4 linked regions of the Arabidopsis thaliana genome follow. The protein of the gene in region 2 interacts with the protein of the main gene of each other region in a pairwise test. Each region holds a gene or a part of one and is shown on either strand. Other genes may lie near its edges. The genes, in order: IAA12, ARF8, IAA15 and IAA32.

What was found.
Region 1: the proteins of ARF8 (region 2) and IAA12 interact in a two-hybrid assay, tested with the Arabidopsis thaliana proteins (2 studies listed by BioGRID, with this or other methods).
Region 3: the proteins of ARF8 (region 2) and IAA15 interact in a two-hybrid assay, tested with the Arabidopsis thaliana proteins (2 studies listed by BioGRID).
Region 4: the proteins of ARF8 (region 2) and IAA32 interact in a two-hybrid assay, tested with the Arabidopsis thaliana proteins (2 studies listed by BioGRID).

The regions. Positions count from the first base shown.
Region 1 is NC_003070.9:1,238,319-1,242,926, forward strand, and holds IAA12 (AUX/IAA transcriptional regulator family protein), read left to right. Parts: upstream 1-1,975; 5' UTR 1,976-2,263; coding exon 2,264-2,466; intron 2,467-2,738; coding exon 2,739-3,025; coding exon of another isoform or gene 3,026-3,057; exon of another isoform or gene 3,058-3,106; coding exon 3,107-3,224; exon of another isoform or gene 3,225-3,297; coding exon 3,298-3,359; intron 3,360-3,442; coding exon 3,443-3,492; 3' UTR 3,493-3,839; downstream 3,840-4,608. Other genes in the region: AT1G04540 (Calcium-dependent lipid-binding (CaLB domain) family protein), read left to right, coding at 1-743; AT1G04555 (uncharacterized protein), read left to right, coding at 4,425-4,578.
Region 2 is NC_003076.8:14,627,841-14,635,642, reverse strand, and holds ARF8 (auxin response factor 8), read right to left. Parts: upstream 6,191-7,802; 5' UTR 5,493-6,190; coding exon 5,450-5,492; intron 5,366-5,449; coding exon 5,256-5,365; intron 5,167-5,255; coding exon 5,068-5,166; exon of another isoform or gene 4,962-5,067; coding exon 4,905-4,961; intron 4,829-4,904; coding exon 4,673-4,828; intron 4,580-4,672; coding exon 4,495-4,579; intron 4,214-4,494; coding exon 4,123-4,213; intron 4,052-4,122; coding exon 3,887-4,051; intron 3,803-3,886; coding exon 3,680-3,802; intron 3,568-3,679; coding exon 3,492-3,567; intron 3,364-3,491; coding exon 3,216-3,363; intron 2,984-3,215; coding exon 2,010-2,983; intron 1,922-2,009; coding exon 1,731-1,921; coding exon of another isoform or gene 1,727-1,730; intron 1,655-1,726; coding exon 1,537-1,654; 3' UTR 1,189-1,536; downstream 1-1,188. Other genes in the region: AT5G37030 (P-loop containing nucleoside triphosphate hydrolases superfamily protein), read left to right, coding at 57-526, 614-1,029. UniProt on the Arabidopsis thaliana protein: Auxin response factors (ARFs) are transcriptional factors that bind specifically to the DNA sequence 5'-TGTCTC-3' found in the auxin-responsive promoter elements (AuxREs). Seems to act as transcriptional activator.
Region 3 is NC_003070.9:30,220,712-30,224,721, reverse strand, and holds IAA15 (indole-3-acetic acid inducible 15), read left to right. Parts: upstream 1-1,952; 5' UTR 1,953-2,019; coding exon 2,020-2,222; intron 2,223-2,314; coding exon 2,315-2,501; 3' UTR 2,502-2,702; intron 2,703-2,878; 3' UTR 2,879-3,093; downstream 3,094-4,010.
Region 4 is NC_003071.7:115,718-120,906, reverse strand, and holds IAA32 (indole-3-acetic acid inducible 32), read right to left. Parts: upstream 2,890-5,189; 5' UTR 2,733-2,889; exon of another isoform or gene 2,539-2,732; 5' UTR 2,523-2,538; coding exon 2,375-2,522; intron 2,272-2,374; coding exon 2,020-2,271; intron 1,941-2,019; coding exon 1,832-1,940; intron 1,755-1,831; coding exon 1,688-1,754; 3' UTR 1,399-1,687; downstream 1-1,398. Other genes in the region: AT2G01210 (Leucine-rich repeat protein kinase family protein), read left to right, coding at 1-643, 719-1,398; PDE331 (Octicosapeptide/Phox/Bem1p family protein), read right to left, coding at 3,611-4,472, 4,584-5,189. UniProt on the Arabidopsis thaliana protein: Aux/IAA proteins are short-lived transcriptional factors that function as repressors of early auxin response genes at low auxin concentrations.

The sequences.
Region 1 (4,608 bases), on a different chromosome or scaffold from region 2:
GATCAAACATTATCGCATCTACTCCGATGAGATCTAACGGAGTTGGATCAACTCCTATGAGATCCAACATCATCGCAATGTCACCGATGCATCCCAACATGGTTGGATCGACTCCAATGCGAACTCCTATGCGGTCTAACATGGTTGGTTCGACTCCAATGAGATCAAACATCGTCGGATCAACCCCGATCCGATCAAACTACATGGCTACACCGATGAGAACTCATCACGATTTTGGTACACCAGTGAGGAATTTAGCTGGAAGACGAATCTTAACTGAATCGGAGTTAGGACCATCGCCATCTGAAGTGGCTGACAAATTGGCGAAAGATAGATCGCACGAAACGGAAAGTTCAATACTCAGCGAATGGAGCATCGATGAATCTAGCATCGAAGGATTGCGATCAAAACTCGAGAGATGGCGAACAGAGCTTCCACCGTTGTACGACATAGGATCAAGCCATATAAGTAGCACTGATTACGATGGCGCGAGCGTTCCAGCTGCAACTGCCGGGGGAGGAATGAGTTCAAGACGGAAAACTCCGACGACGAAAAAGCATAACCGCCGTCACACAGATGGAGGTAATGGACTTTTCTCGTGTTTTAGTAAGATTTGTGGTGTGGAATGCAGTTTCGTATGCGGTGGTGGTGGTGGGCCGATGGTCTCAGAAGGATCTACTAAGAAAGGTGGAGCCGGACGTGTGCAACGCACATATTCCGCTGACGATCTGAGCTTTGTGTGATCTTTATTTTATTGGTCTTATATTAACTTTTATTTTTTTTGGAAAACTATATTTTTTAAGGATCTGAGCTGATGAATTAATCAAATAGTAAACAAAAATTAATTTATTAATGTTGTGTTAATAAATCATTTATTTTTGTGTATTCCTCTTCTTCTTCCTTATTTTTAAAAAATTAAAAAATGTTCTTCTTATAATATAGTGTTTAATAGAAAGTGAGCTCACACAACAAAATTAGAAAACTGTGAATGAATGTAAGAGAGTGAGTGGAATAAAAAAAATATAAAAATGAAATCTAAGAGTGAGTGAACAAATGTTGGTATTGTAGACAATGGTGACTAAAATTAAAAAGAAACAAAATGATATAAACATTAATCTAAAAAAAACTAAAATAAATATACAAATTCTGCATTTCTAACTATACTTTCATGTATTATGTATACTTATTTGATTCATACATGATATAACCGGTTATTTAGTTTATTTTCTATCAAATCCATCAATTAGAGCATGAAATCTATGTACTCCTTGATAATGATTTTGATCAAAAGTGTAATTTCCACAAACCAATTGCGCCTGCAAAAGTTTTCAAAGGATCATCAAACATAATGATGAATATCTCATCACCACGATTTTATAATAATGCATCTTTTCCCACCATTTTTTTTCCCTCACTTTCTTTTATAATCTTGTTCGACAACAATCATGGTCTAAGGAAAAAGTTGAAAATATATATTATCTTAGTTATTAGAAAAGAAAGATAATCAAATGGTCAATATGCAAATGGCATATGACCATAAACGAGTTTGCTAGTATAAAGAATGATGGCCAACCTGTTAAAGAGAGACTAAAATTAGGTCTAAAATCTAGGAGCAATGTAACCAATACATAGTATATGAAATATAAAAGTTAATTTAGATTTTTTGATTAGCCCAAATTAAAGAAAAATGGTATTTAAAACAGAGACTCTTCATCCTAAAGGCTAAAGCAATACAATTTTTGGTTAAGAAAAGAAAAAAACCACAAGCGGAAAAGAAAACAAAAAAGAACTATATTATGATGCAACAGCAACACAAAGCAAAACCTTGCACACACACATACAACTGTAAACAAGTTTCTTGGGACTCTCTATTTTCTCTTGCTGCTTGAACCAAACACAACAACGATATCCCAACGAGAGCACAACAGGTTTGATTATGTCGGAAGACAAGTTTTGAGAGAAAACAAACAATATTTTATAACAAAGGAGAAGACTTTTGGTTAGAAAAAATTGGTATGGCCATTACAAGACATATGGGTCCCAATTCTCATCACTCTCTCCACCACCAAAATCCTCCTCTCTCTCTCTCTCTTTTACTCTGTTTTCATCATCTCTTTCTCTCGTCTCTCTCAAACCCTAAATACACTCTTTCTCTTCTTGTTGTCTCCATTCTCTCTGTGTCATCAAGCTTCTTTTTTGTGTGGGTTATTTGAAAGACACTTTCTCTGCTGGTATCATTGGAGTCTAGGGTTTTGTTATTGACATGCGTGGTGTGTCAGAATTGGAGGTGGGGAAGAGTAATCTTCCGGCGGAGAGTGAGCTGGAATTGGGATTAGGGCTCAGCCTCGGTGGTGGCGCGTGGAAAGAGCGTGGGAGGATTCTTACTGCTAAGGATTTTCCTTCCGTTGGGTCTAAACGCTCTGCTGAATCTTCCTCTCACCAAGGAGCTTCTCCTCCTCGTTCAAGGTTCGTCCTTTTTCTTATTAAGAAAGCTCAAATCTTGTGATGTGAGTGTTATGCCATCTCAGGACAGAATTGTGTAGGTGCTTTTGTTTTAGTTTACCCTGAATAAGAGTTAGGTATCTATCTCCATTGATGAGCTTGTGCTTGTCCTGTGCTATAGATTTCTCTATGGAGTCATGCAAATGCTAAGATTTGTTCATTTTAATGTCTGTTTAGATGATTACATCTGAATTTCGAGAGCCATTGAGTGGAAATTTCTTGGTTTGTTGTGGCAGTCAAGTGGTAGGATGGCCACCAATTGGGTTACACAGGATGAACAGTTTGGTTAATAACCAAGCTATGAAGGCAGCAAGAGCGGAAGAAGGAGACGGGGAGAAGAAAGTTGTGAAGAATGATGAGCTCAAAGATGTGTCAATGAAGGTGAATCCGAAAGTTCAGGGCTTAGGGTTTGTTAAGGTGAATATGGATGGAGTTGGTATAGGCAGAAAAGTGGATATGAGAGCTCATTCGTCTTACGAAAACTTGGCTCAGACGCTTGAGGAAATGTTCTTTGGAATGACAGGTCTGTACTGTTTTCAAATGCGTACACTATAAACCCGATGTTTTCTATGAATCTACTGATAGTTTCTGTTTTATCTATCAGGTACTACTTGTCGAGAAAAGGTTAAACCTTTAAGGCTTTTAGATGGATCATCAGACTTTGTACTCACTTATGAAGATAAGGAAGGGGATTGGATGCTTGTTGGAGATGTTCCATGGAGGTAAGATTCGGATATTAAGCAGTATTGCAGTAGTTCAAAACCTGATTAGTCTCTTTTCTCTCTTTTTGTTTAGAATGTTTATCAACTCGGTGAAAAGGCTTCGGATCATGGGAACCTCAGAAGCTAGTGGACTAGGTAAGTTTTAAAGATCATCTTCTGGTTTCTTGATTTCTCGTCTTGACTAATGAAAAAGACTGATTGAATCATTTTTAATGCAGCTCCAAGACGTCAAGAGCAGAAGGATAGACAAAGAAACAACCCTGTTTAGCTTCCCTTCCAAAGCTGGCATTGTTTATGTATTGTTTGAGGTTTGCAATTTACTCGATACTTTTTGAAGAAAGTATTTTGGAGAATATGGATAAAAGCATGCAGAAGCTTAGATATGATTTGAATCCGGTTTTCGGATATGGTTTTGCTTAGGTCATTCAATTCGTAGTTTTCCAGTTTGTTTCTTCTTTGGCTGTGTACCAATTATCTATGTTCTGTGAGAGAAAGCTCTTGTTTATTTGTTCTCTCAGATTGTAAATAGTTGAAGTTATCTAATTAATGTGATAAGAGTTATGTTTATGATTCCAAAGAATGAATATTTGTTCCTTAATATGGTTTGTTGTTTTCTGTCTTTTTGAAGTTTCCATTGACTCGAGTCAAAACGTTTTGCAGAAACAGAGAAGAGTGTGTCATTAAAAAAAACAGAGAAGATGTTTATTTTTTTTGGTCGAAGAGAAGATGTTTCTAAGACCATCAAAATCATATATTGATGATTGATGACAAGAAAAGTTTTGACCATCAAAAGTTTTGTCCTTAATTGTTCTTAAATTCACACAAAATACGTTAAGAGTTATCTTTTAAAACTGCAAACTACTTTAAATTGATAAACTTTGAAAAGTAAAGATTTTATTCTTAATCTGATAGTTGAAGACAAAGAAAATAACAAATGTTTGGATTCACGTCACCAAATCAAAATATAATAAGGTTATGGATTGTTTAGGTAATATTTAACTTGTTACCTAGAAAAGGAGATACAGTGCTTAGCAAGTCCAACCAAAGATTAAAGGATAAGTAGTAAAGTCAAAAGACCAGTAAATTAAAGTCTTGTAGAGAAAGGAAGAAGGAAGATTCATGATCCTTGATAAAATTCAAGTTTGGTGAAATTCTAAAGACCACGGTTTAGATTTTTGGGGTTTGCTTTGGAATAAGATAATGGATCATCAATGGCGCATGAGGTTTTCGTTCAAGAACGCAACAATTGCTCTCACTGTCATCAACGTTCTCATCTTCCTCTTCCTCCTTCAGGGCTTTTTCACTTCCTCCTCTTCTCCATCTTCTTCTTCTTCTTCTCGCCGACTCATTTCAGGTCTGTAACTTTTCTGAATTCCTTGTGGGT
Region 2 (7,802 bases):
ATGCAGACATAAATCATATGCACAGCCTCAGGTGCTGCAGAAATAAATGAGGAAAGGACTGGAAATATAGAAGTTCTTGTGGTTGATGAGGCAGCTCAGCTTAAAGAATGTGAATCAGTTGCTGCATTGCAACTTCCTGGACTACGTCACGCCATTCTAATAGGAGATGAGTTTCAGTTACCTGCAATGGTTCATAACGATCAATGCGAGAAGGCGAAATTCGGAAGAAGCTTGTTCGAGAGATTGGTTCTGCTTGGTCATAAAAAGCATTTGCTTGATGTTCAGTACCGAATGCATCCTTCGATTAGTCGTTTCCCTTATAAAGAGTTTTATGGTGGGAGAATCAAAGATGCTGCAAATGTTCAAGAAAGTATTTATCAAAAGAGGTTTCTTCAAGGAAACATGTTTGGCTCATTTTCTTTTATCAATGTTGGACGTGGAAAAGAAGAGTTTGGTGATGGAGATAGTCCCAAGAACATGGTTGAAGTTGCTGTGGTTTCTGAAATCATATCAAATCTTTTCAAAGGTATATAATCTTTATTGATTTATAAGTGTATAGTATTTAAACTGTTTCATTATTCCTTTTGACAAAATTTGCTTAATGTTGAAACAGTTTCTAGGGAAAGAAAGATGAAAATGAGTGTTGGAGTGATTACTCCTTACAAAGGACAAGTTAGAGCAATCCAAGAGAGAATCAGAGATAAGTACAGTTCCTTATCAGGTGAGCTTTTCACTGTGAATGTTCGGTCTGTAGATGGGTTTCAAGGTGGTGAAGAAGACATTATCATCATCTCTACCGTTAGAAGTAATAGTAACGGGAAGGTTGGATTTCTCAGTAACCGTCAAAGAGCCAATGTGGCACTCACTCGAGCTAGGCACTGTTTATGGGTGATTGGAAATGAGTCAACACTGGCTCGGAGTGGTTCGATTTGGGCAAACCTTATAAGTGACTCGAAGAGACGTAAATGCTTCTATGATGCTAAAGATGATAAGAGATTGAGAGATGCCATGAATGCTGTCCAAGGTTGATAAGTCTGATGTGTGTGCACGTTTAAGTACTCTTTGGGTCAAAAAGAAAGGGAGAAAATGAGTTGTTGGTACTTCATCTATGTCATTCTTCAACCTAAGTTACTAGTAGAAGCTTTTGGTAACATTTTGTGATTAATGGTTGTGTTTTAAAGATTTGGTTGGTTTTGGTTTCACACCTTATGGAATCTAATTGGTCTGACCAAACTGAATGTCTAACAATGTTGTTACAAAAATAGAATAAGAATAAATACTAGAAAAGTTTAGTTACCCTGAGACAGCTACATAAAGGTTCTTATGTTTATGACGAGAGTGTCTGTCTAATACAAGCTAAAGTACGTCCTAAAGTTTCAGGACCCATACTCACAAATATGATTATGTTTCTTTCTAAAAACGTCAAAACGAGAGAGATGCGAACGAATGGCATATAAAGATGAGTGGAAACGACTTCAAATGGGAAACAAAGGGCTCCCGCGTTGTAGCATGATGAGACTAACACCGAAGCAGCTTCTAGAGATGGGTCGGGTTTTGCGGGAATAACCCACCACTGCCTTCTCCATGATCTCCCATTTGATGCACATCTTCTGGTGATAGTATCTTTATGTACCAAACGTTATTCACAAATGACCTGCAGAACAAGCTTTTAAAGATCTATCTCAAATCTAAAGCAATGTATACAAATAGAAGAAGAGTACTTTACTTACTCCCATGGGTCATCACCAAGGAGAAGAATATCATTTTCCTTGTCAACGAATACAAGCTGCCAGCCTGATCTAAGGGGGTCTTCCAACAACCCTTCGATAGCAAACATCTTCCCTAACTCTTCTCGCAGCTCGTGGTAGCTGCTGAATCGGGAGATGTCTAATGAACGCCCAACCGAACCAGATTTATAAACCTGCAGTTTTGGATTTGTAAGCATATCAGTATTTTCTTAGAGACAGTAGAGCCACAGAGAAGTCGGTGAGCCTAGAACAAACCAGCACCTTTACAAAGTTCTTGGTTTGGTTGGACGAGTTAATCTGTCCAGCTCCATGCAATAACTCATGAGTTGTGTCTTGCATGCAGCTATATAAGGAATTCTGAAATCCTGAATCTGTTAGTGACATAGGGGAAGCTTCAGCATCTCCTGATGAAGAAGCAAAGCGGGGAACCGTACTGGGGAGGAAGAGTCCAGAGTCGGGATCAACACCGAAAAGAGAGGGATTCTGCGGATTTCCGGGTTCTAGAGCAAGACTCTTCCCAGGATAGGCTTGTGGAAGTGACAACGGTTCAGAAAAAGTGTTGGATGCTTTTGGAGACCAGCCCTCTGTTGTTAACTGCTCAGGGAGTACAGACTGACCGGTTATAGAAAAATTCAAAAGATTGCCATCTCCAGAAGCCGGACTAGCAGTTGTTGCAAATTTGTTGCTTGAGTCAGTAAAATCTGACTTCATGAACGAGGGAGATGGCATCTCTGATTGCTGCTGCCACTGTTGAAGATGGCCATTTTGCATTTTGAAAGCATTAAGATATGCATTTTGGTCCGGTTGCTGTAGCTGTTGCTGCTGTCCAGCTGGTTGGTTACTAACTTCTTGTCGCATATTCTGCTGCGGAAGATTCTCACTCATAATCTGTGTTTGAGCATGCATGAGATGGCGTGACGCTTGTTGCTGCTGTTGCTGCTGAAGCATCAAATCAGAATTATGGGAAGCTGATTGTTGAAGATATTGGTGGTGAGGCTCTTGCAGCTGTACAAACTGCTGTCTTAAAGGATCTCCACCGCCGATGTTCTGCAACCCAGCAGCTAACATTGCTTGGTATTGCTGATTATTATCAGTCCCCATTTGACTGAGATCCAGCCTTTGTTGCATCCATGGAAACAAACCAACAGATGGATAATTTAGAGGAAGCAAACCTTGCTGCTCTCCACCTCCCCCTCTTAGCCATGTTAGACCACTTCCCAAATCACCCCTTCCATCTGTAACATCATAATGTTTTGAGTAAATAGCTATGGAGAGTACCTACACACTTCTTTGTAAATAAATTATAACAGTAAGACCCTCTTCAGAGCTCTACTCAATCGAACATTTGTTATTTATCCGAAGTAGCAACTAAGTTACAATAGCAGAAACACTGAGTGACAGTAAGAGACTTCACGAACGTACTATACTAGTTAATAACAGTTAGGAGAAGAGCCAAAAGGTGGATACCAGGCAAAGATGATGTGCCAGCATGCCATGGACGTTTTAGTCTGAGAGGAAAAAGAGATGGATACATAGGAAAGGTAGTCAGAGGCTCAATCTCCCATAAAGAAACCCTTGGCTGTCTCTCCCCTGCAGTCGATTCATCCCAACCAACCTACACCAATAATGCCACAGTTCATCAATGTTGATGGAATTTCAGAGTAATATTGGACTAAATCATCAGAAAGCTGTGTGACGTTCCATGGAATTTAAATAAGGTAACAGGCTTAATAGTGTTGTTACCTTCACAGATCGCCAATGAGAGTTTGGCCAACGAACAGAATCTAGATCACTAATACCAGTTATAGTACCCATGTACCTGGAAAGTTCCCCATGCCACTGTCAGAAAACATGTTAAAGTAATATGTGTAACATAATGATATAGTTTTCTCAGTTTCAAGATTGCATTTCCAGATATGTGGCATCATCACCTGCGGACACTCGACTCTTCTGTCTCGAAGAGCATGCGAAAGCGCATCCCAACTGAAATACGCGTGTGAAAAACGGCTTTAATGTACTTGGAAAGTTGTATCACAAACTCAGATTGGCTAGCCCTGAACATGAAGAGAATATTAGTAGGATATATTATCGGATATACCGAGAGATGAAAAAGATGCAGGTGGGAGAGATTTTTCAACCTTGGATGAAAGAAAACAGTGAAACAGCTATTAGTTGCAGAAGCATGTGCAGCAGCAGCAAGGAGTCCAATATGCATGCTATCACTAGATAAAACAGATGATGGTACAATAGTCTGCGGCCGAGTGGCATGACGAATTCCCAAAAAGAGTTGATTCTTTTCATTCCTGGAAACAAGTAATAGTGTTACAAATATAATCACAATCCACAAACTGAACGTACAACAAAAGAACTAAACCTGATGAAAATGACAGAATCTCCAGCTACTAGTCGCTTGGCACTGACAAAGACACTCCATCCAGTAGTTAGGAGATGCCGTTTGGGCTGTCCTGCATAATCACACCAAAACCATGTAAGTTATTCCTAACAAACCAAGAAGAAGGATTCAAATCAACTTAACTTCATATGAACAAGTAAATAATTCCACGTTATAATAGACAACGACAAGAACACAGAGCCTCCGTGGTTTCTTCAACTAAACCACACATGAGTAGTGAAAATAACAGCAGATGCTGCTTCAGACATACTTAACAGCCAATTGAAATTTTTACACTGGCGACTACAGTTAAAAAGGGATCATCAACGCACACCGAGGAAAGGTGAAACCTACCCCGAAAGATATGCCTAAACTTCCATTCAACATCATGGAGATCCCTTGCAATCAGTTCTTGAGCTGGTGGCTGCAGTGTGTAATCCTGCAACAGGGAAGACACAAGATATTAAAAGGAATACATATATTTTCTCAACAACAATTTATAGCAAAGTAAGTAAAAGAAAAAGTATAATACCAATGGAGGAAACACTTTCTCAGCAGCACGTCTAGGAACAGAAAACCCTCCATGTGTACTGGTATCACTAGCTGTGAGAGTCTTACAAAAATAATTACTAGGTTGCTTACTCGGTATCCCCAACTCAATCGGTACAAATGTTTCCTTCTGCTCCTCCTATAAACAACACCAATCCTAAAGCTTAAGTTATTAATTCACAGACTCAAAAACCTGTTATGTATAATGTATCTACCGGTGTCAATGGTTGAAGTGTCATTTGAGCATAGACTTCATCCGTCTCAACATCTGCCTGAAATAGTAGAAACGAAACCCATACTTACAAAGCACATCATCCCAAAACTAGTTTACAAAAGTAAAAATTGAATATGGAAAGGGACAGGGAACTAACTACGCACATGCATTGTAACATTATGGAGCTGGCATATCAATTGTGGTGGTAGGCTTGGGTAATTGGGTATGTGACCATCAACTTCCTTATTAGTTGTAGCAGCTACCTACAAGTACACTTCTATTTAAATGGAAATGCCCAAATATAACACAAGTCTAAAAATAAAGCTCCATACTTTTAAACAACAACCCAAACCTGTTCACTGTGACCCTGTGGAAAGTAAACAACTCGACTACCAGATGATGGAAGAGAGACTAATGGTCCAGCACAAGCATGCCATAGCTCAGAATTCAGACACTTCTCTCCTGTTAGAACAAACACAGACACAAGAACTAAGAAAACACTTGTCCAGAAACAGAACTAAGAAAATCAGAGAGTAAACAAGTCACCTTCATGACCCTGTTGACCCAATCCAGATGTTGACAGCTTCATGTCTAATTCAACTTCAAGAAACCAAACTTTGAAAACCCTAATTTTTCCGTACAATCTATTAAAAAATCTTCTTCACTTCCAGCTACTACAGTAGCTATAACTCTTTAGCTCCGGAAGTACAAACTCGTCTTTCTCCATCTCCTTTGTTCAAACCCCCAAAAATCTCACTCACAACCATAAGACTCAGTGAAAGCTTCGAATCAAAAAACCATCCATAAAACCCTTAAACACAAGAAACAGAACAAACCCCATTTCTTCAAAACCAGAATCTGTTTCTTCTCATCATCAAACCATGAACAACAACACAAGCTCTCTACTACAAGTACGCATTGAAGCAACCCCAACAGAAAAAAAAAAACTCTTGTCTTTGAGATCTTTGTGGATGAAAAAATGAAAGAAACAAGACAAAAGAACAAATCTTTCTTCTTCAACAACTTGACTTCTCTCGTGGGTAAAAAATTAAATCTCTTGAAGCAGTTCCATCACTGTCCAAGAGAGACACTTTGGCTTTCAAAAACAGAAGAGAGAGAGAGAAAGAAATGGTTAGTGAGAGAAAAAGATATGTGTCAGAGAGAGAAAAGAAGAGTGCGTGGGGGTGAAAGAGAGAGAGAAAAGAAGAAGAAAGTGAGTAAGTGGTTTTCCTCCTCTTATAAGAGACCCGACCCGACTCCACCCGACCCGGATTTGACCCGGATCCGATACAGTGGAGAGAAGGAAGAAGAAGAGAGGTCCTACTAACGAGAATTATGAGAGGTGGTGTCAGTACCAGAGTCACTTCTTTTTGACCGTTGGATTTGACTCTTGAGATCTTGATCGTTGAAAAATAATAATTGTTTTTTTTGAGGTCTTGGATTCGATGAAAAGGACAATGAATTATAGTATTTGAAGTGAGAGAGTGAGAGAGAGATAATAGAGTTGTCATAAATGTTAGCGTTGTTTATTTTAAATACTTTTTATTTTTGCTCCATTCATTGATGAAAGAAACACCAAATACTCCCATAATTTGATTTATTTAAAGATAATTTATAGTAGTATTTAATTTAATAACTCAAAAAATATTTTGTTGGATCTTTTATGAGTTCGTTGAAAAAATGGTCAAAGGTTTATCTATTGATAAGTGATGTATTATTAGATTCGCAAATCTAAGTTCTAATTTAGAAACAATCATTAGCAAATAGATGCCCGATAATCCAACATCTTATGGATACCACTATTTTACTTACCAAAAGAGAAAACTAATACACATGGATCTTGTTTGAATAATTTTTAAAAAATTTGGGATATGGAGTGTATCACTTGGAGAAGCTGGATTTGGAATAATCTTTGCAAGTTAAGACCCTTAACTAGGTTTTTCATCGTTTGTGAAATTGGTTCAGAAATAACTTGTAATTTCTGGACTGATAATTGGATTTTTTTGGGACCATATTTGTCGAGCTAACCTGAAGATTTATGACTAAGAATTTCTCTTCTCCCTCGTTCTGTTGTGGTTGCGGATGCATTGAGAAAGAGACAATAGTGGCTTACAAATTCTCGAAGTCGCAGTCCCATTATTCAGTTGCTTAAAGAATGTCTTCCTTCCTATTCTACTGTTAACTTACAAGAGGATGTAGAGGATGATGTTTACCTTTGGAAGGTGATGATATCCATGCATCAAATATTTTCTCTGCTGCTAAAACTTAGGCACATTAATATTCAAAAAAAAACTTATGCACATCTTCATCCTCCTGACACAAAGATGGATCGGTTTGAATCTGTGTGATTTCCAGGAAGGATTCTTAAGCATGCTTTCATTGCTTGGCTAAAGTCTCATCATAGACTTCTCACTAGAGACAAAATGATTCGATGGGGCATGACTACTCCTTCGTCGTGTCTTCTCTGTAATTTGATGGATGAATCTCGCTAACATTTATTCTTCGACTGCTCTTATGTTGCAAAGGTATGACACTATTTCTATGATAAAGCCCATCTTTCTCCTCTAAATCAATTTGAGGATGAAGTTAGATGGTTGAAGAATCCTTGTCGTGACAAGAAAACTACTTTGATTCTTCGAATTGCCTATCAAGCCTCACTGTACTCCATATGGAAAAAAGCGCAATGCAAGATTGCATAATTCATCCTCAAAGCCAGCCTCAGTTCTCATTATTTATCATTAACATTCTTCAATGTCATCTAGACCCTTGTTGGATAGCTCAACGGATCATTCATCTGGTTTGGTGTCTTTCAATAAATTTATTGTAATACTTTTGTTATCTCATTTATTTCGATTGTAGGTTCAATTTTCCTTGGTGTAACTTTTCCACTTCTATTATA
Region 3 (4,010 bases), on a different chromosome or scaffold from region 2:
ATTCCGTTATGTAGATTTTTATGGAATGACAACAAAAGAAAGAAAAAATAACTGGGCTTATTTTGGGCTTGATACCATAATGGCATTATGATGTATCAAATCTGCCATGATGTATTCTTGACCCACTGTAGGAAACCTGGATTGGTTTGGGCTTAATTGGATAAACAATCTGTATAGAATTTACTGGTTTCGTAATTCTCTAAGTCTCGGACCGCTCTATTATGTTATCGCAATTTATTATACCCAAGTAAATGTCCAAGACATCAATATCAGTTTTCTAGAGCCTAAAAGCAGTTTCGATTATTTGAGACAAAAAGTATCAATTAACATTAAATACTAGCTACCAAATTTATGTACTTCTTATTATTATCTCACATATTTTGTTACGAGTCGAGTTAAATGAATTATACGACTGTTTCATTCCATGCGCATTATAACGAAAGAAAACAAACTTAGAAAACAATGGCTGACCGGAATTACCGGTCACGGGTTTGTAATCGAAACCGGTAAATTCGTCTATGTGTCGCCAGTAGGACCTATTAGCCCCTGGTTTAACTCTTATTGCCCTTATTGGTCTAAGAATAGTGTCGTGAACCATCGAAAAAATCATTTATGATTCTATGTTCCCCAACGAAAAACAGAGTCACGTGACTTACGCATGTGACCCTACGCTGCTGTAATTAATGTTCTGCTCTTTTCCTTTGTCTAAACTTTTTTGACATCTCATTTCATATTGCATGTAAATAATATGACTAATATGAAATTAATACCGGACACTGAAAAACTTTTCAGTAAAAACTTTATACTTGTTCACTAAAAAAGGGATAGTTATCTATCTCTAACTTTTTTTATCCCAAATCATGAAACTTTTAATCGCTTTTATACAATGATTGATGTTCATTATATATTTTATTTTAGATTTTATTTCAATTTTGAAGTAGAAGTTTCAACATTTAGTTCTGTTCACATTGTTTTTTTGGTGGGAACATTCTTTTCATTGTTTACAAGATCCACACGCATATTAGTTGGGATTTCTTCTGATATTCGGTGAAAGATTAAACTAATGAAGAAGTATTGTACCTAATTAGTGTGTAGTGTACGATGATAGATAATTAGGAATATATTGTTAGACCATGATTTGTTTTCGACCGACGACAGTGAAAGTTGATGTACATATATAATGGTGAAACTTTTTTACCAAGAAAAAGTTAGTTGGAATGATAATTTAAAGGAGTAAAGCGACAACAAAGTGTAGACAAAAGGAACACTATTGAAGATCTCTCCCGAAGAATATATTGGACTGAAGTTTTTTTTTTTTGGTCTAATGTTAAATTATTGGACTGAAGTTGACAAACACAAACAAATATATATGGGAATAAAGTTTATTATATTTTCCAACGATTATAAGCAAAGGTAACATGAATGCGATTAAAATGATATTTTCAACTCTATTTAGAAAGTAAATAATGGTATTTAGAATATATATTTTTCTCGTTTTGTGAATGCTAGTGGATAATATAATCAAATTATATATTTTTCTCCTTAATCGAACCCATCAGTCGTGACGTGGGAGCTTAAAGATCAGGGCTGATTTCTTCTTCTTCTTTCTTCTTTTTTAGTTGACAGTGATTTCTTCTTCTTCTTCTTCTTTTGATACCAGGCTAATAGAAATTAAAACTGAAAAGATATCCGTACACATGCAATTACATCCACTAATGACAGTTTAGAAGATGCTAAGTGGCTATAACTATAAATGAGCCCACACCACACGAAGTAGAAGCTAATCACCAAACTGTTCACTTGCTTTCGTGGAGATATAAAAACCGCCAGTTACAGGAAAACGTGTCATTATAGGTAGGGTTCACTAGTTTTTTAGCTGACAAGTATAGATCGACTATAAATACAAAGTTGGAAACCTCGAGAGTCTCACACACTCAAGCCAAAAGTTAGTGCCACATTGTCTCATCACTTTCCGCACTTTTGTTGTTAACTAACTTTCATAAATAGATTAAGATATTAATGTCACCGGAGGAATACGTTAGGGTTTGGCCGGATTCCGGTGATCTTGGAGGAACTGAGCTGACCCTAGCTTTGCCTGGCACTCCGACAAATGCATCGGAAGGTCCAAAAAAGTTCGGGAACAAACGTAGATTCCTCGAGACCGTTGATTTAAAACTCGGGGAAGCACACGAGAACAATTATATCTCAAGCATGGTCACTAAGTACGGCATATATATATTATATTAATTTCATTTATCGTTCATATAGGTCATATGCATGTTTGATTGATCTTCTTAATTTATTGTGGTTTTAGTGACCAGTTGGTGGGCTGGCCGCCGGTAGCGACAGCGAGGAAAACAGTGAGGCGGAAATACGTGAAAGTGGCGTTGGATGGTGCGGCCTATCTCAGAAAGGTTGATCTTGGGATGTACGATTGCTATGGACAGCTTTTCACCGCTCTAGAAAACATGTTTCAGGGGATAATAACAATATGTAAGTGATCGAGATAAGTAGGAAAAAATAAAGATTTTGATGTGTTTGGATGGACTGACGAAGTGAAGGATATTATGGTAAATTTACTTACACTTGGGGTTTTGGATGGTGGTAGGTAGAGTGACAGAGTTGGAGAGGAAGGGAGAGTTTGTTGCTACTTACGAGGATAAGGACGGTGACTTGATGTTAGTCGGAGATGTGCCGTGGATGTGAGTTCTCGGAATTACCCTTTGTGTTGCTTTTACGTACTTTTCCTTTTTTATTCAAAACTAGAATTTCTGTACTATTTTGTTACTTACATTCATATCAAAACTAGAATTACTGTATTATTCTGCTGTGAAGGAAACTAAATTTTCTTGGGATTGATGATATTTAATTTGTGTAGGATGTTTGTGGAATCTTGCAAACGTATGAGGTTAATGAAAACCGGAGATGCTATTGGATTATAGGTCTCTATTCTGCTTCCCACAACGTAAACGCATCGGATCTTCGAAAGGCTATATAAGATTATGATCACAAATGCATTAAATACTGTAGAGATGTATACAATTGCATTTTTGAATTGCAATATGCTATATATGTAATTTCAAACCTTTTTTGGCCGTGGATTTTGTATGTAATGTACTACTATTGTTTAAATGATTTTACTTTTTTTTTTTTTAATTCAATAATTACAAACCACTTTTAAGCATCAGTGCCGACCACCACGATCCGGGCATGACGACATCGACACTCGACAAGACGGGATGCTCAAAGTTTTAATATGTTTTTTTTAAAAAAATTACACGTTTCATTTTTATGCATTCGAATTTGTGCATTAAATGATCCTAGAGATCGTAATATAAAAGCGGATTTTTTTTTTTGTAAGAATGCTAGGTCTTGTAACATTTTTCTCTAGCACTCGTAGACCTTACTGTTATTGATTACATGCAGGAATATCAATAAACGAAGAACTAAAAATGGAATTGAATACTTGAGATTGACATTAAATTATCCTAGAGATCGTAATATAAAAGCGGATTTCTTTCTTGTAACATTTTTCTCTAGCACTCTGTATATATCTTATTGTTATTGATTACATGGCGGAAACATCTATTATCAATAAACGAAGTGCCATTTGAAAATTTAAAATTTTAACATTTATCCAAAAATAAACTTATAGTTTTAGTAGTAATGTAAAAATAGAATTTTAAAAACATTTGTTAAAAAAAAAAACAAGTGTTAAAAGTTTAAATAGTGTGTAAACCATTTTAAATCTAGGACACTTTTTAGGGGTTTGCATGTTGTGTCCAAATATATATACAAAATTTAAAAATTTAACACTTATAAAAAACAAACCCTTATAGTTTTAGTAGTAATATAAAAATACAAGTTTAAAAACATTTGTAAATAAAAGAAAAAAAATGTTAAAAATTTAAATAGTGTGTAAACCATATTGAACCTATGACACCTCTTAAGGGTTTGGATGTTGTGTCCAAATATTTACACAAAATTTAAAAATTCAACACTTGTAAAAA
Region 4 (5,189 bases), on a different chromosome or scaffold from region 2:
GACCTTTGCCAAGGATATCAACTTGGCCTCAATGCCTCTTACCCTTTTATCCCAAGCAACAACCCACCTGAGGATTCTGATAGTACTAACTCTGAAACCAAACAGAAATCAAGTGGTTTGAGCAAAAGCGCCGTCATTGCCATTGTTCTCTGCGACGTGTTTGGTATCTGCCTTGTGGGTTTGCTTTTCACTTACTGCTACTCAAAGTTCTGCGCTTGTAACCGCGAGAACCAATTCGGAGTCGAGAAAGAATCCAAGAAAAGGGCTTCTGAGTGTCTGTGTTTCCGTAAAGACGAATCCGAAACGCCATCTGAAAACGTGGAGCATTGCGACATTGTTCCCCTCGACGCTCAGGTTGCGTTTAACCTGGAGGAGCTGCTAAAGGCGTCAGCTTTCGTTCTGGGGAAGAGCGGAATCGGAATTGTCTACAAAGTGGTTCTAGAGAACGGGCTCACACTGGCCGTACGGAGATTGGGTGAAGGAGGGTCTCAGAGATTCAAGGAGTTTCAGACAGAAGTTGAAGCCATAGGGAAACTAAAACATCCTAACATTGCTAGTCTTCGAGCTTATTATTGGTCTGTCGATGAAAAGCTTCTCATCTACGACTATGTTTCCAACGGTAACCTCGCAACCGCCCTCCACGGTGAGTCACTCTTTTCTCATTTCAAGATGCATTATTCAGTTACATCATCGTAAATGTGTGTGTGTGTATGTGCAGGAAAGCCGGGGATGATGACCATCGCTCCGTTGACATGGTCTGAACGGTTGAGGATAATGAAAGGGATTGCTACAGGGCTTGTTTATCTGCATGAGTTTAGTCCCAAGAAATACGTCCATGGAGATCTCAAGCCAAGCAACATTCTCATTGGACAGGACATGGAACCTAAGATCTCAGATTTTGGACTAGCACGGTTAGCTAACATCGCTGGAGGATCTTCTCCGACCATACAGTCTAACAGAATCATCCAAACGGATCAACAGCCGCAAGAGAGGCAACAACACCATCACAAGAGCGTATCTTCGGAGTTCACTGCTCACTCTTCTTCTGGATCCTACTATCAAGCACCTGAGACTCTCAAGATGGTAAAACCTTCACAGAAGTGGGATGTTTACTCTTATGGGATCATTTTACTGGAATTGATAGCGGGTAGGTCTCCCGCAGTGGAGGTGGGGACATCGGAAATGGATCTAGTGCGGTGGGTACAGGTATGCATTGAGGAGAAGAAACCATTGTGTGATGTTCTTGATCCTTGTTTGGCTCCTGAGGCAGAGACGGAAGACGAGATTGTTGCTGTTCTTAAGATTGCAATCAGTTGCGTGAATAGCAGTCCAGAGAAAAGGCCTACCATGAGGCACGTTTCTGATACGCTCGACAGATTACCCGTGGCCGGCGATTGAGACATCTAGAGATTGCACATAAAGCTTGTTTTGAAATTTGAAGCTGCAATGTATTTTGAAGCATAAGCCTGATGACACTAATGTGGTTACCGTTTGTTTTGTTTTATTTTGTTCTTTTATTTGTCCCAGTCTTGTTGGTGGTTGGTTATTAAGATGTCCCTCTCTTCATAATCGTATTTATAGCTTAAAGCTTCCATTACATCAGATATTGAACAATAGAACCACAAGTGAGCTAATTTGGATCTTAGATAATCAGTGAACGCCCCAGAAGAAGCTTGGACTTAAAAGCTTAAAAGGGAAGAAGAGCATCGTTTCTTCTTGCGATTCGCATCCGATCCACGCTTTCGACAAACTCCCTACAGGTTTCAGACAAATTACAAAGTGGTTAACTTAAAATGCTTAGTTTTTGTATAGAGAAAATGTAAGAGCTTACTTCCATGGAACATCCCCAACATTCCTCCAAATGCCTTCTCTGTCTCTGTAGACCAAAGAGAACTCAGACTCAGTCTGGAACAACCTCAATCCCGACACGGTCTGCATCCCTGCAGATTCGAATTAATGTGGCAAAACCTTCTGAAACATACTTGTAGCTGGAAGCTTGGGGGTCAGAACACGGCTTACCAAACATATCATTGAGCTGAAGAGCAAGAGTTGCGTAAGCTCCTTGATCAACAAGGCAAACCTTGCGCCCTACCACTAGGCCATCCAGATTTACCTTTACGTAAGCATATTTTCCTCTGCTCTCTCCTTCATTATTGTAATATCCTTGGGCAAGTCTTTGGTGTCCAGTGTCCTCACTCTTCAACTGTGTAATGCTGTTATAGCTGGGCTGCGACCAGTCTATGAGCTCTCCATACCCGTCGAGACCTATCACTTTGATTCACATATAGATATTGAAGGTAGCAAGTTGAGGATTAAGAAAACTAACTAATGATGAGGTGAAAGCACGGCTATTCAGCAAAAAAAAAAAACTCACTTCGCGCCGGTGGGAGGTAAGTTTCATGTTGTATGGTCCTAAGGCTGAGGCCTAGATCGATTACCCCACCACCCTTTTTGGTCTGTGAGTAATATGTATGAAACTTGGAAGAACCTTTGAAGAAGTCTGCAGGTGTGTTTGGGTCCATTGATGCTTTTTTATTTCTAAAGATGCAGAGAAGGGAAAGTGAGATGAGAAAAAGAGAGCTCACTTCTAAAGATTTATAGTATGAGCTGATGCTAAAAGAGTGTCAGAAGAGTTAAAGAAAAAAAGACAGAATTGCAGACATGAAAGAGACATAAGACAAGAAAAACCCATTAAGATCCAGTTGGTTTGAAGCAAGGGATGGGGAGCTGACCACAGAGAGAGATTTGGTTCAGATCTTGTAATCCAACCAGGTCTGCCAATGCTTCTGATGCACAAAGTCACATCTCAACTCTGTGAACACTGCAGAAATATTATCTGGGACTATTGACAACTCGATTCAAAGTGAGGCTCTGTGTTGCTTATGAGAGAATAGTGTAGTGCAAGAGTAAAATATCTTTGAGTCATGTATAGAGAGAGAGATAAAAAGGACTGGGTTTGGTGTTTAGGTAAAGATACAAATGCCTATCTCTTTCAAAAGAGATAGTTGTGTTGCTAAATTGCAAGACAGATCGATTTTGTCACTACCTTTTTCACCCACACCTTGTCTCTTAGAAGTTGTAGGGTTTGTGTGTACTTTTGCAAGACCACACACATGTTTTAATATCTGTACCTATGCTCCCATGGATAGCAAGAAGCCAGACATACATTCTTCCAAATATTAAATGTTATACATAACATTTCAGAATCTTTCTGAACAATATTATAGCCTTCAAAGTCTCTTGAAAAAACAAGATAGAGAGATGATGATCAAAAAAGTGATACATTTACAAAATGAAATGAATGATAATAATATGATATAAGATCCAGGAAAATGGTAAAGCACTACATGTATCAATTGCAACTATATAATGTAAAATCCCACCAAGAAGCACTATTTATTTGTTTTTTTAATTTACTCACACAACACTTTTAAACACAACCCATAATACCAAACTTAACATGACACCAGACTCTTTTTTTGATGCAGCAACTTGTAAAAGAAGAGAAGAAAAAAGAAGTAAAAGTTATATATTTATACGTTTAAAAACCAACCCGGGGTTTTCTTCCTCCAAAATTTTGTGGTTCATCTTCATGTGTTCCTTGTGTGTGTCACAATGGCTGTGAACTCCGGATCTGTTGAGTCATGTTCTCAGCTGGAAGCTTAGCAGCAGCAGAACCATCAGGCATCACCATGGCAGGTGGAGGCCCAGTCATTGTCTGGTACTGTGCATGTCCCATAGGTTGAGTGTAGTATATCTGTGTATGAGCATTGTCGACATATTCATATCCATAGTTTGGATTCCCAGCTGAACCAGACTGAGGAGGGTGACGGATCTGCGAATACCCCATGAATTGCTGCTGGTTTGTGGGAATCTGGTGAACCATCTGAGCACCGCCCACACCTGGGGCTGTTGTGTAAACCCCAGCCTGTCCCATCTCAGGTTTGCCACTGCTAACACTTCTCATGTGGTTGTTAGGAGGTGGAGGCATCATGGTAGAGTTGGGATGGTTAGAGGGGATAGACCCTGCAGCATCGCTCACACTTGGAGATTGTGGCACAGGCATACTGTAGGGCCTAGGTGGGACAGGAGCAGTGACATAATAAACAGGATAAGGCTGCTGATCCAGTCGACCTGCGTGTTGATGGAAGGACTGTTGAGGCTGTTGCGAAGGGTAAACCTGGATGTAAGTCGGGACAGGAAGGCCGCTAGACGGATGGTGATGAATGTATTGAGGAGGAGCAGCAGTGTGTATGAACTGCTGCTGTGGCTGAGATTGTGCAGATTGTTGCTCAAACTGGGGGTGAAGGATATAGGCTGGGTCCTGATTCTGATGCTGTGACAAAAGTGTGCTTGGATCTGAGGGATTGATCATACCAGTAACAACGGTAGAGCCAGAAGGTATCTGAGCAATTGGTTCTTGATAGACAGATGGTCTTTGGTGAAACATTGGGTTGCTCATACTGCTATCACTGAGGCATTCATTATATAGCAAACACACAATCAGAGTTCTGACCAATCTTAGTTCTTCTATAGCATCAAATTAAGGCTCATGAGGGTTCCAATATAAGAAGAAAGAGTACCTGGAAACGGAATTGGGTGATGGCAGCTCGTGTCCACCACCGCTATTTGATTTCAGCTGATGAGCCTGCTGAGGCGGTAGATTCTGCGGCTGCGATCGCGGAGTCGGAGGCTTCCTGTATCCAGCCTGCACGCCGTGATCGGATCTCTCGTCATCTGAGTAAACCCTGGCCTGGAACTCATTAGAGACGGTGGCTGCAGTCACAGGCGCAGCAGGAAGGGCGATTGTGACAGGCATCGGCGGTGGTGAAGAGATCGCAGCAAATCCGTCGTCATGTAGCTGATGCTTGTTCCCGACGTTGAATCGTGCGAACTGTTCTTCAATTCCCAGATTTCTCTGATCTGGCAAAGTCCTTACTCCGCCTGGTTCCTCTACATGGACACGGATCGGAGGCAAATTGGCGAGCGAGGGAGACGAAGAAGTGGAGCCGAAAGAAGAGGATGTATCTAACATCGGAGAATCCGGTAAGCAGTTCACATCTTGGCCTCCTTGCTGTTGTTCTTGCTGCTGCGGCGGTGGAGGTTGCTGTTGCTTGGCGCTTTTAACAGAGCCATCATCACCATCTCGATTGTTGTTGTCACCGGAATTAGAACGGAGAGCAAGAGCA